Cricetulus griseus: one gene and its partner. The protein of the gene in region 1 interacts with the protein of each later gene in a biochemical or structural test. Links are inferred from orthologs where the notes say so. Each region holds a gene or a part of one and is shown on either strand. Other genes may lie near its edges.

The links.
Region 2: of the proteins of Card9 (region 1) and Trim62, one has a biochemical effect on the other in vitro, tested with the Homo sapiens proteins (4 studies listed by BioGRID, with this or other methods). The link is inferred for Cricetulus griseus from reciprocal best matches to the Homo sapiens genes CARD9 and TRIM62.

What each region holds. Positions count from the first base shown.
Region 1 is NC_048599.1:137,740,671-137,744,313, reverse strand, and holds part of Card9 (caspase recruitment domain-containing protein 9), read left to right. Parts: intron 1-578; coding exon 579-770; intron 771-1,228; coding exon 1,229-1,270; intron 1,271-1,692; coding exon 1,693-1,741; intron 1,742-3,023; coding exon 3,024-3,097; intron 3,098-3,643. UniProt on the Homo sapiens protein: Adapter protein that plays a key role in innate immune response against fungi by forming signaling complexes downstream of C-type lectin receptors.
Region 2 is NC_048595.1:24,132,338-24,136,613, reverse strand, and holds the start of Trim62 (E3 ubiquitin-protein ligase TRIM62), read left to right. Parts: upstream 1-1,362; 5' UTR 1,363-1,473; exon of another isoform or gene 1,474-1,596; 5' UTR 1,597-2,016; coding exon 2,017-2,424; intron 2,425-4,276. UniProt on the Homo sapiens protein: E3 ubiquitin ligase that plays a role in antifungal immunity by mediating 'Lys-27'-linked ubiquitination of CARD9 downstream of C-type lectin receptors; leading to CARD9 activation, followed by activation of NF-kappa-B and MAP kinase p38 pathways.

The sequences.
Region 1 (3,643 bases):
CACAGAGATCCGCCTGCCTCTGCCTCCCCAGTGGTGGGATTAAAGGCGTGTGCCACCACCGCCCAGTGATCATATTCTTGATGTCAAGATGCATCCAGAACTTGAAAACATGCCACATGGGTGGGACAGAGACACATACTGACTAGGGATGTTTGACTTCTTGGTTGGACTTCCCTAGGAACTATCTTGAGTGTTGGCCATGGTCATTTCAGCTGCTTCTTTTTGGAGTTTTTCTTTTTAAATTAATTTTATTTATTTTTGATTGTTCTGAGACAGTGTCTTATGTAGCCTTGACTCAAAGTATGTCCAAAGACGACCTTGAACTACTGATCCTGCTTCTGCCTCCCAAATGCAAGGATGCTGGGTATGTGTTGCCCCACCCAGTGTCTGTTCTTCTGTACTGAGAGCCCCGACTGCTTTGAGAACCCCTCCAGTTCAGCAACTCCAACTGCACAACAGGGTGGCAAACATCCAGTCAGGACCTTTAGTAGAGGCTGCCGTTTGTACTGCCAAATAAAAGCCAAGAGCACCACTAACCAGGTCTCTTAATGAGGGTGTGCCCTCTCTTGTCCCTACAGGCTATGGCCTCGAGGGAAGAGCTGCATGCACAGTGTGCCCAGAGCTTTCAGGACAAAGACGAGCTTCGAAAGCAGGTTCGAGAGCTGAGTGAGAAGGCAGACGAGTTGCAGCTGCAGTTGTTCCAGAGTGAGGGCCGGTTAGTGGCCGCCGAGGGCAGACTCAAGCAGCAGCAGCTGGACATGCTCATCCTGGTAGGTCTCCCTGTCTGCTGTATCTTGGGCGGTCTGGGAAGTGAGGGAACTGGGGAGGACATGGGGTCAGGGCAAGATTCCAAGAGGGATCATGCAGCCTAGGGGCATCCCCATTCCTAACCTGGCACGGCTGGTGACCTGCTTGTGGCTTCCAAAAAATGCCTGGGCCTTCCTGAGTTCTTTTTCCTCTTTGGAGCTCCTCATGTCAGTGATAGACATATATGTAACTCAAGGTCCAGTCAGCACATAGGACAGCGGCCTTGATCATTCAGGTGGCTTAGTAGAGTAGAATTAAGAAAGACAGATGTTTTGGGCAGGGTCCTGAAGAGACGTACGGGCATGACTGAGCATGCAGGGCCTGCCTAGAGGATGGAGCCCTCACCATGCCTTGCACACCCCCTGCCCAGGTGCTTAGAACCCTGTAGCCCACTGACCAATTCCCTTTTCTGTGGCTACAGAGCTCTGACCTGGAGGACACTTCACCCAGGAACTCCCAGGAGGTGAGTGTGATCCAATGGGTGGGCACAGAGTGGGCCTCTTCCAGGCCTGCAACCTCCCTCTGACCCCACACTCATCTCCCACATGGTCCTGTTCACCTGAACTGGGCTGTCCCTTCTCTCTCCTTTTGGGTTGGATACAGGGAAGAGTGCTGACCAAATTCTGAGGCCTTTGTTTGTGAGCAAAGTGAGGCACCATCCAATGCCCACAGCCTGGCCTCTTAGGACAGGAACTTTATGCTAGGGTTCCCTTTGACCGTTGGCCTGGCTGGCACTGAGTCTCTGAGGATCTCTGTGCAGAGGGGTGACAGTGATGGCTGTACCAACTGAGAAGCTAAAGTCAAGTGGGCAGTGGGGTCGGCCACTGGAAGGACAATGGTGGCTTGTACCATGGCCTAACTGGGTGGCATGTCTCTGTCTGGAAGCTCTCACTGCCTCAGGATCTGGAGGAGGATGCCCAGCTCTCAGACAAAGGTGAGGAGGGGGGGTACCATGCTCTTCCAGAACCTCCCCTACCCCTAAGGCACCTGGGCTGTAGTCTCCTGGCCTCCCAGAGCCCTGGCCCATCCTTAGCACACAGAGTTGTGTGACTTACTCTGTCTCAGTAGTCACCACTCCAGGGACGGAAGAACTGAGGCACGGAATGGCAGTGGTGAAGGGCTAAATTTTTAGGCTAACACACCCAGAGAATAAGGAATCTGATTTGAACATGGGGCTTAGGTCTCAGGGTCTGTGGCTCAGAGGGCAGAGGGATATACTAGCCAGTATCCAGGTGTGCTCAGTGAGGAAGTAAGAGATGGTGCTATGGACAGAGCAGCAAGCAAGGAGATAGGGGTATGCTATCCACAGTAGCAGGCTGCCAAACAGGACTCTCCTCTGATCTGAGTGTTGGCTCATTAGTCCTGGGGGTGACAGTTGGGGGAGCTGGTGAGAACACTGTCCTGAAGTAGCTGGAGGTAGGAGGTGGGGGTCTGGTACAGGGAGGAGGAATCCTGAGAGCTTTCGTGAGAAGTTAGACAGACTTCCTCCACCCCGGGCTTTAACCAAAGGCAAAAGGGGAACAAGTGGTGCGGATGGAGAAGTGTAGAGGTGGCTCACCCACTGTAGCCCCCAGGAACCAAGTTGAGGCCACTGAGCTCCATGTGGGCACAAAAGGAGGAGAACCCAAGAACAGCCAGCTCCCTGAAAAGCATGCCAGGAGTTCATGAAAATGAGAGGGGTAGGGGATAGGTCTGCTGGTTGCTCTCGTACTCTGAGTATAACTGTTTCTTGAGGTATAACTGTTTCTTGAGGTTCATAGCCCTCCCTGGACACCTACCTGGAGACTTGAGCCGTGCTCTTCCCACCTAGTCTGGTCTAACTAATATAGTGTACTTGCTCTCACCTCCAGAGGTCCTGAGATCACCACTAGGCACATAAAGGAGATGTTCCTGTTGCCAAGCCAACAGGAACATGGCCTGGGACATGCATGAGCAAACTGTCCTGGAGACCAAGAGTCTTTCCTACCCATCCACCCTTGTATGTTTGGTGACAGTCAACTTGAAAGGTGTGGGTGGGTGAGTGATGGTAGGAGCCCTGTTGAGTACTCCTGGCAGCCAAAAGCTGGCTCAGCCTGTCCCTGTCTTAGGAAATGCAGTCTCCACTGGACTTGCCTGAGGATCCCAGCTCATAAGGACTAGTGCTAGTGGGGCTGTTAGCAGAGGGAGGTGGTGGCCATGCCAAATGCCTCCCCCCAACACACAGCTCTTCCTTTCAGGTGTCCTGGCAGACAGGGAGAGCCCAGAGCAGCCCTTCGTGGCTCAGAGCAAGGAGCAGCTTTCACAAACCCATGTAAGGCTGACTGGGGCCCCCAGAACCTTGGTGACTCAAGGGGAGGAAGGTGACTCCACCTGTACCCCTGGACAACTAGGGATCACAAGGTGCATGCATGTGATATAATGTTTGGGTAGTGTTTGGTACATGAAGTGGAGACCCCCCTTCTTGGACAGACCTCTAGATGTATGGTGGTTGGATGGGGTGGGAGCAACATGAAAGGACCCCCATGCAGCAAAAGAAGTGTATCAGGCTTTCTCTGGGTGGCTAACCAGATCCCAAATGATGTGGAAACTTATTAGTTATCAATGTTCAGCCTTATTCTTGTCCTACTAGGTCTTATAACTTAATTCAACCTGTTTCTCTTCATCTATGTTTTGCCTCGGGGCTTTTTGCCTTTCATTCTGCATGTCCTACTTTTCCTGCTTCCTCTGTGTCTGTCTGTCTGGTCTTTCTCACCCATTCTCTTCTCTCTCAAGCCTGGGTTCCACCTACTACTTATTCTCTCTGAATACTAGCCCCACCTATCCCTCTTCTGTCTAGCTTTTCATTAGACCATTTAGG
Region 2 (4,276 bases), on another chromosome or scaffold:
AATAAACTCGATGGTTCACTATACCTTGGGTGCCCTGTCTGGGGAGAATAAACCTTTGCTCATGTCTCTAGGTCCTCTCCATCATCCCCTTTTATCCACCACCACTTTTCATAGTGTCTATCTATTTTTAATCTGATGGCCTTCTCCTGACCCACAGTCAGCAGCTGAACTCAGAGCTGACCTCTTGCAGGCACTAGGACAGCCACTACCTCCCCAGGGCCCAGCCTTTCCTTCCTCCTGCAAGCCTCACCACAAGCAAGGGAAAGGATCCCTGCCTTCTCTGTCCTGATGATGTAATGAGTATCCATCACTTCAAGAAACCCAAACCAAGGCAGGTCATTTCCCTGCTTGGAAGCCCAGTGCCTTCAATGAATTCTTCACAAAGTCCTCTACACCTTTCACCTTCCAATCCCAGCCCAACAGCATGGACACCCAGTGTGCTTCCCTTTCATGCCGCTGTGTTTGCTCTCTCTCTCTCTCTCTCTCTCTCTCTCTCTCTCTCTCTCTCTCTTTCTCTCTCTCTCTCTCCTCTCCTCTCTCTTCTCTCTCTCTCCCCTCCTCTCTCTCCCTCTTCTCTCTCTCCCTTTTTCTCTCTCCCCTCCTCTCTCTCTCCCTCCTCTCTCTCTCCCTCTCTCCCCTCCTCTCTCTCTCTCCCTCTTCTCTCTCTCCCTCTCCCCCTCTCTTTCCCTCTTTCTCTCTCCCTCTCTCTTTCTCTCTCCCTCTCCCTCTCTCTTTCTCTCTCCCTCTCCCCCCTCTCACTCTTCCCTTCCTTCCCCCCCCTCACACACACACAGCTGCTTAGAAATCCCTTACCTCCCCTCTATCTGGCACAAAAGACAAGATCTCCCATTACACTTTTTCCTCACCACACCACACACACACACACACACACACACACACACACACACACACACACACACACACACGCAGCAATGAAGAAACATTTGATGAATGTCAAGAACCCTTGAGGCCACACATTAGCCAGGATTCAAGTGAAGAGGAAATAGGACCTGAGGGTTTCAGTGTGTGGTAGCTTTGAACTTAGTCTAAGCCGTCTCCAATTTTATACCTACAATCTATGCAAACGTTATATTACATTCAGACTACACAGCGTCTTCTTGTCTTAATACTCAGTATTATTTTCCTCAAATCTTGATGACCCAAAAATTGATTGTTCATTGAGAAGGTCCTTACTTAGGCGCTGGCCACCCGTCCCCTGTCGCCATAACCCTATGCAAACCTGGCAGCTGTGCAGACCCAGAAAGAAACAGCTGGTTTTCATGTCCCTGCGGACCAGGAGCACAGTGGAGGCCAGGGAGGCCCCGCCCCTCCCCCGCCCGCCGTGGGGGCGGAGTACCTTGGGTCCCGCCCGTGGGGGCGGAGAGGGAGCCTGGGCACCGGGCAGCTCGGCTCGGCTGGTTCCGGGTTGAGAGGCTGCGCTGGACCGAAGCTGTGGCCGCTGAGCTGGTTCGGGTAAGGGGCCGCGCGGGGCCGGGATCTGCGGCCAGGGTCGGGCAGCTGAGCGGGCCGGCACCCCTCCTCTGCTCTGCCGGGCAAAGCCGCGGTGCGGCTGAGTCTGGCTGCTCTGTCCCGCAGAATTCCCCATCCCCAGCTCGCCCCGCTCTCAGAGCTGCCCGGGTCCCAGGATTCCAGCCCCACCGTGGCCTCCGTCCCCCTTCGGGATCTCCTCCTCGCAGCACCTATCCCTTGGGACTGTCTGGTCCTCTAGACCCTCCTCGCCTGGAGCCCCTTCCTTGGGACGCCCTCGGCCTCTCTCCTCCAGCGCCCATCGCTGGTGGCCACCTAGTACCTCGAAACCGAGCTCCGGGGCTCGCATCCCTGGTGGCCCCTACTCGGCACCGAGCCACCGTGCCCCCCGCGTCGCAGACAGCGCCCCCCGCGCTCCCAGGCGCCTGTCGTCCGTGCCCCCGTGGGCCTGGCCCCCGGGTACCGCCCCCGATCGTGCCGCGCCGGCTGCCAGCCTCCCGGGCTCCGCTCCGCACCGCCCCCGGCGCCATGGCGTGCAGCCTCAAGGACGAGCTGCTGTGCTCCATCTGCCTGAGCATCTACCAGGACCCGGTGAGCCTGGGCTGCGAGCACTACTTCTGCCGCCGCTGCATCACCGAACACTGGGTGCGGCAGGAGGCACAGGGCGCCCGCGACTGCCCGGAGTGCCGGCGCACGTTCGCCGAGCCCGCGCTCGCGCCCAGCCTCAAGCTGGCCAACATCGTGGAGCGCTACAGCGCCTTCCCGCTGGACGCCATCCTCAACGCGCGCCGCGCTGCGCGACCCTGCCAGGCGCATGACAAGGTCAAGCTCTTCTGCCTCACGGACCGCGCGCTGCTCTGCTTCTTCTGTGACGAGCCCGCGCTGCACGAGCAGCACCAGGTCACCGGCATCGACGACGCCTTCGAGGAGTTGCAGGTGCGTGGCTGGCAGGCGGGGCGTGGGTGGGGTCAGGGTTCCAGTAGGGGGCAGGGGGTACACAGGCCGACTTAATGCCAGAGGGGCGTGGTTGCGGTGAGGGGCGGGGAAGGGGGCGTGGCCCTCGGGCATCTCTCTGTCGAATGGGCTTGAGACAGATCTGGGGTGGGAGTCCATGCCTCGGAGACAGATCCAGAGTGGGGTGGGAACGATGGGTAGAGAGGGAGTCACAGCTGGACCAGATGCTGGCTGAGGCAGAATGAGAGACATCGGCTCCTACGGGCTAGGGCAGGACCACTGTCACAGCTAGCGCGGCGTGGGGAGATGGGAAATGTGCTATTCTAAATGCAGCCACGGTGGCAGGTTTGGGGGCATTGTGGGGTGCGGCTTGCTGCTCCAGGTGTTCATAGAGATCTAGAGTGAGAATCGGGCCTTGGCTGTGCCAAGCAGGTGGGGGTTAAGTTTAAGACATGCAAATTGCCCAGAGGGCAGATTTGGATGCCAAGGGGTTAGGTCAAGGTGTGTGAGTATCTAAGGTTGGGAATCCAGTTCAAATATGGCAAGAGCCGTTTTGGATTTAAACCCGAGAAGGGGCCAATTGAGAGTGGAACTGGGAAATGAAACTTCAAGATTTGGAGACTTAGCCTCAAAGGTGATTGGGGAAGGTGAAGACAGGCCAGGGCTAGACAGGGCCTCTTGATGACCACTGTTGACTGTCATCTACATGAAAATCTTTGAGTATTCGATTGAATACAGCCTCCAACTGCAGTCAATCTCCCCTAAACCTCCCTGTTGTCACTGACAAGCATGTATGTACGTATGTATACACATACATATATATGCTTTTATAGAAAGGGAAATGCACATATAGAGAAATATAGTTACATACACATCCTATGTATATGACTATCTGCCATTTGCCTGCATGTATGTATGCACATAATGAACATGTGTGGTACCCAAGAGGACAGAAGAAGGTGTCAGATCCCCTGGAACTGGAGTCATCACTGGATGCTGGGAACCAAACCCAGGTCCTCTGCAAGAGCAATTAGCTGCTGACTTTAAAAGGAAGCATTCCAACCGAGATCAGCTTTATTGGGATAATACACCATATCTCCCACAGCCTCCCCATTAGACAAATCTCGGTTACAGGTTACACATTTACCTGCTAAAGGCTTGGAGAAATCTTGAAGGAAAGATACCCCCTTAAGTTGATTTAACAAAGTGATTCCCAGGCTCGTTTGAATCCTTTTTACAAGCTGACCTATTTCAATCCAGCAATTATCCTCCCTGGCTTTGGGTTTCCTTGGTAGTTTATTGCCTCCCCGACATGGTGGATGAATGAATGAGTGAATGAATGAATGACCTAGCTTGGTCTAAGCTGGCCCAAACTAGAGGATTCAGAAGTGGAAGATGTTTTTACTTTATTTAAAAAAAAAAAAGCATGGCAAAAAAAAGCATGGCAGTGGTGGTGCATACCTTTTAGTTCCAGCACTCAGGAGAAAGAGGCAGGAAGATCTCTGTGAGCTCTAGGCCAGTCTGTCTACAGAGTAAGTTCCAGGATAGCCTGGGTTACCCAGAGAAACCCTATCTTGAAAAAAAAAAAAGGGGTCAGCTAACTTTGGAGTAGTGAGTTCTTCATTCCCTGCCTGGACCTTGCTGAGGCTTACCTGGAAAGAACTTACTTGAAGGGCTAGCCAGGGTAGGACCAACATCACCTGTTCCCTCCTTCCTCCTCCTGAGATCTCTGGAGAATGCATGTGCCCTGCTGGCTAAACTTCCAGCCACACCTCTCTCACCTGAGAAGGAGACACCCCTTGATGTCCCCTTTGGACTTAGGTAGGTGGTGGCA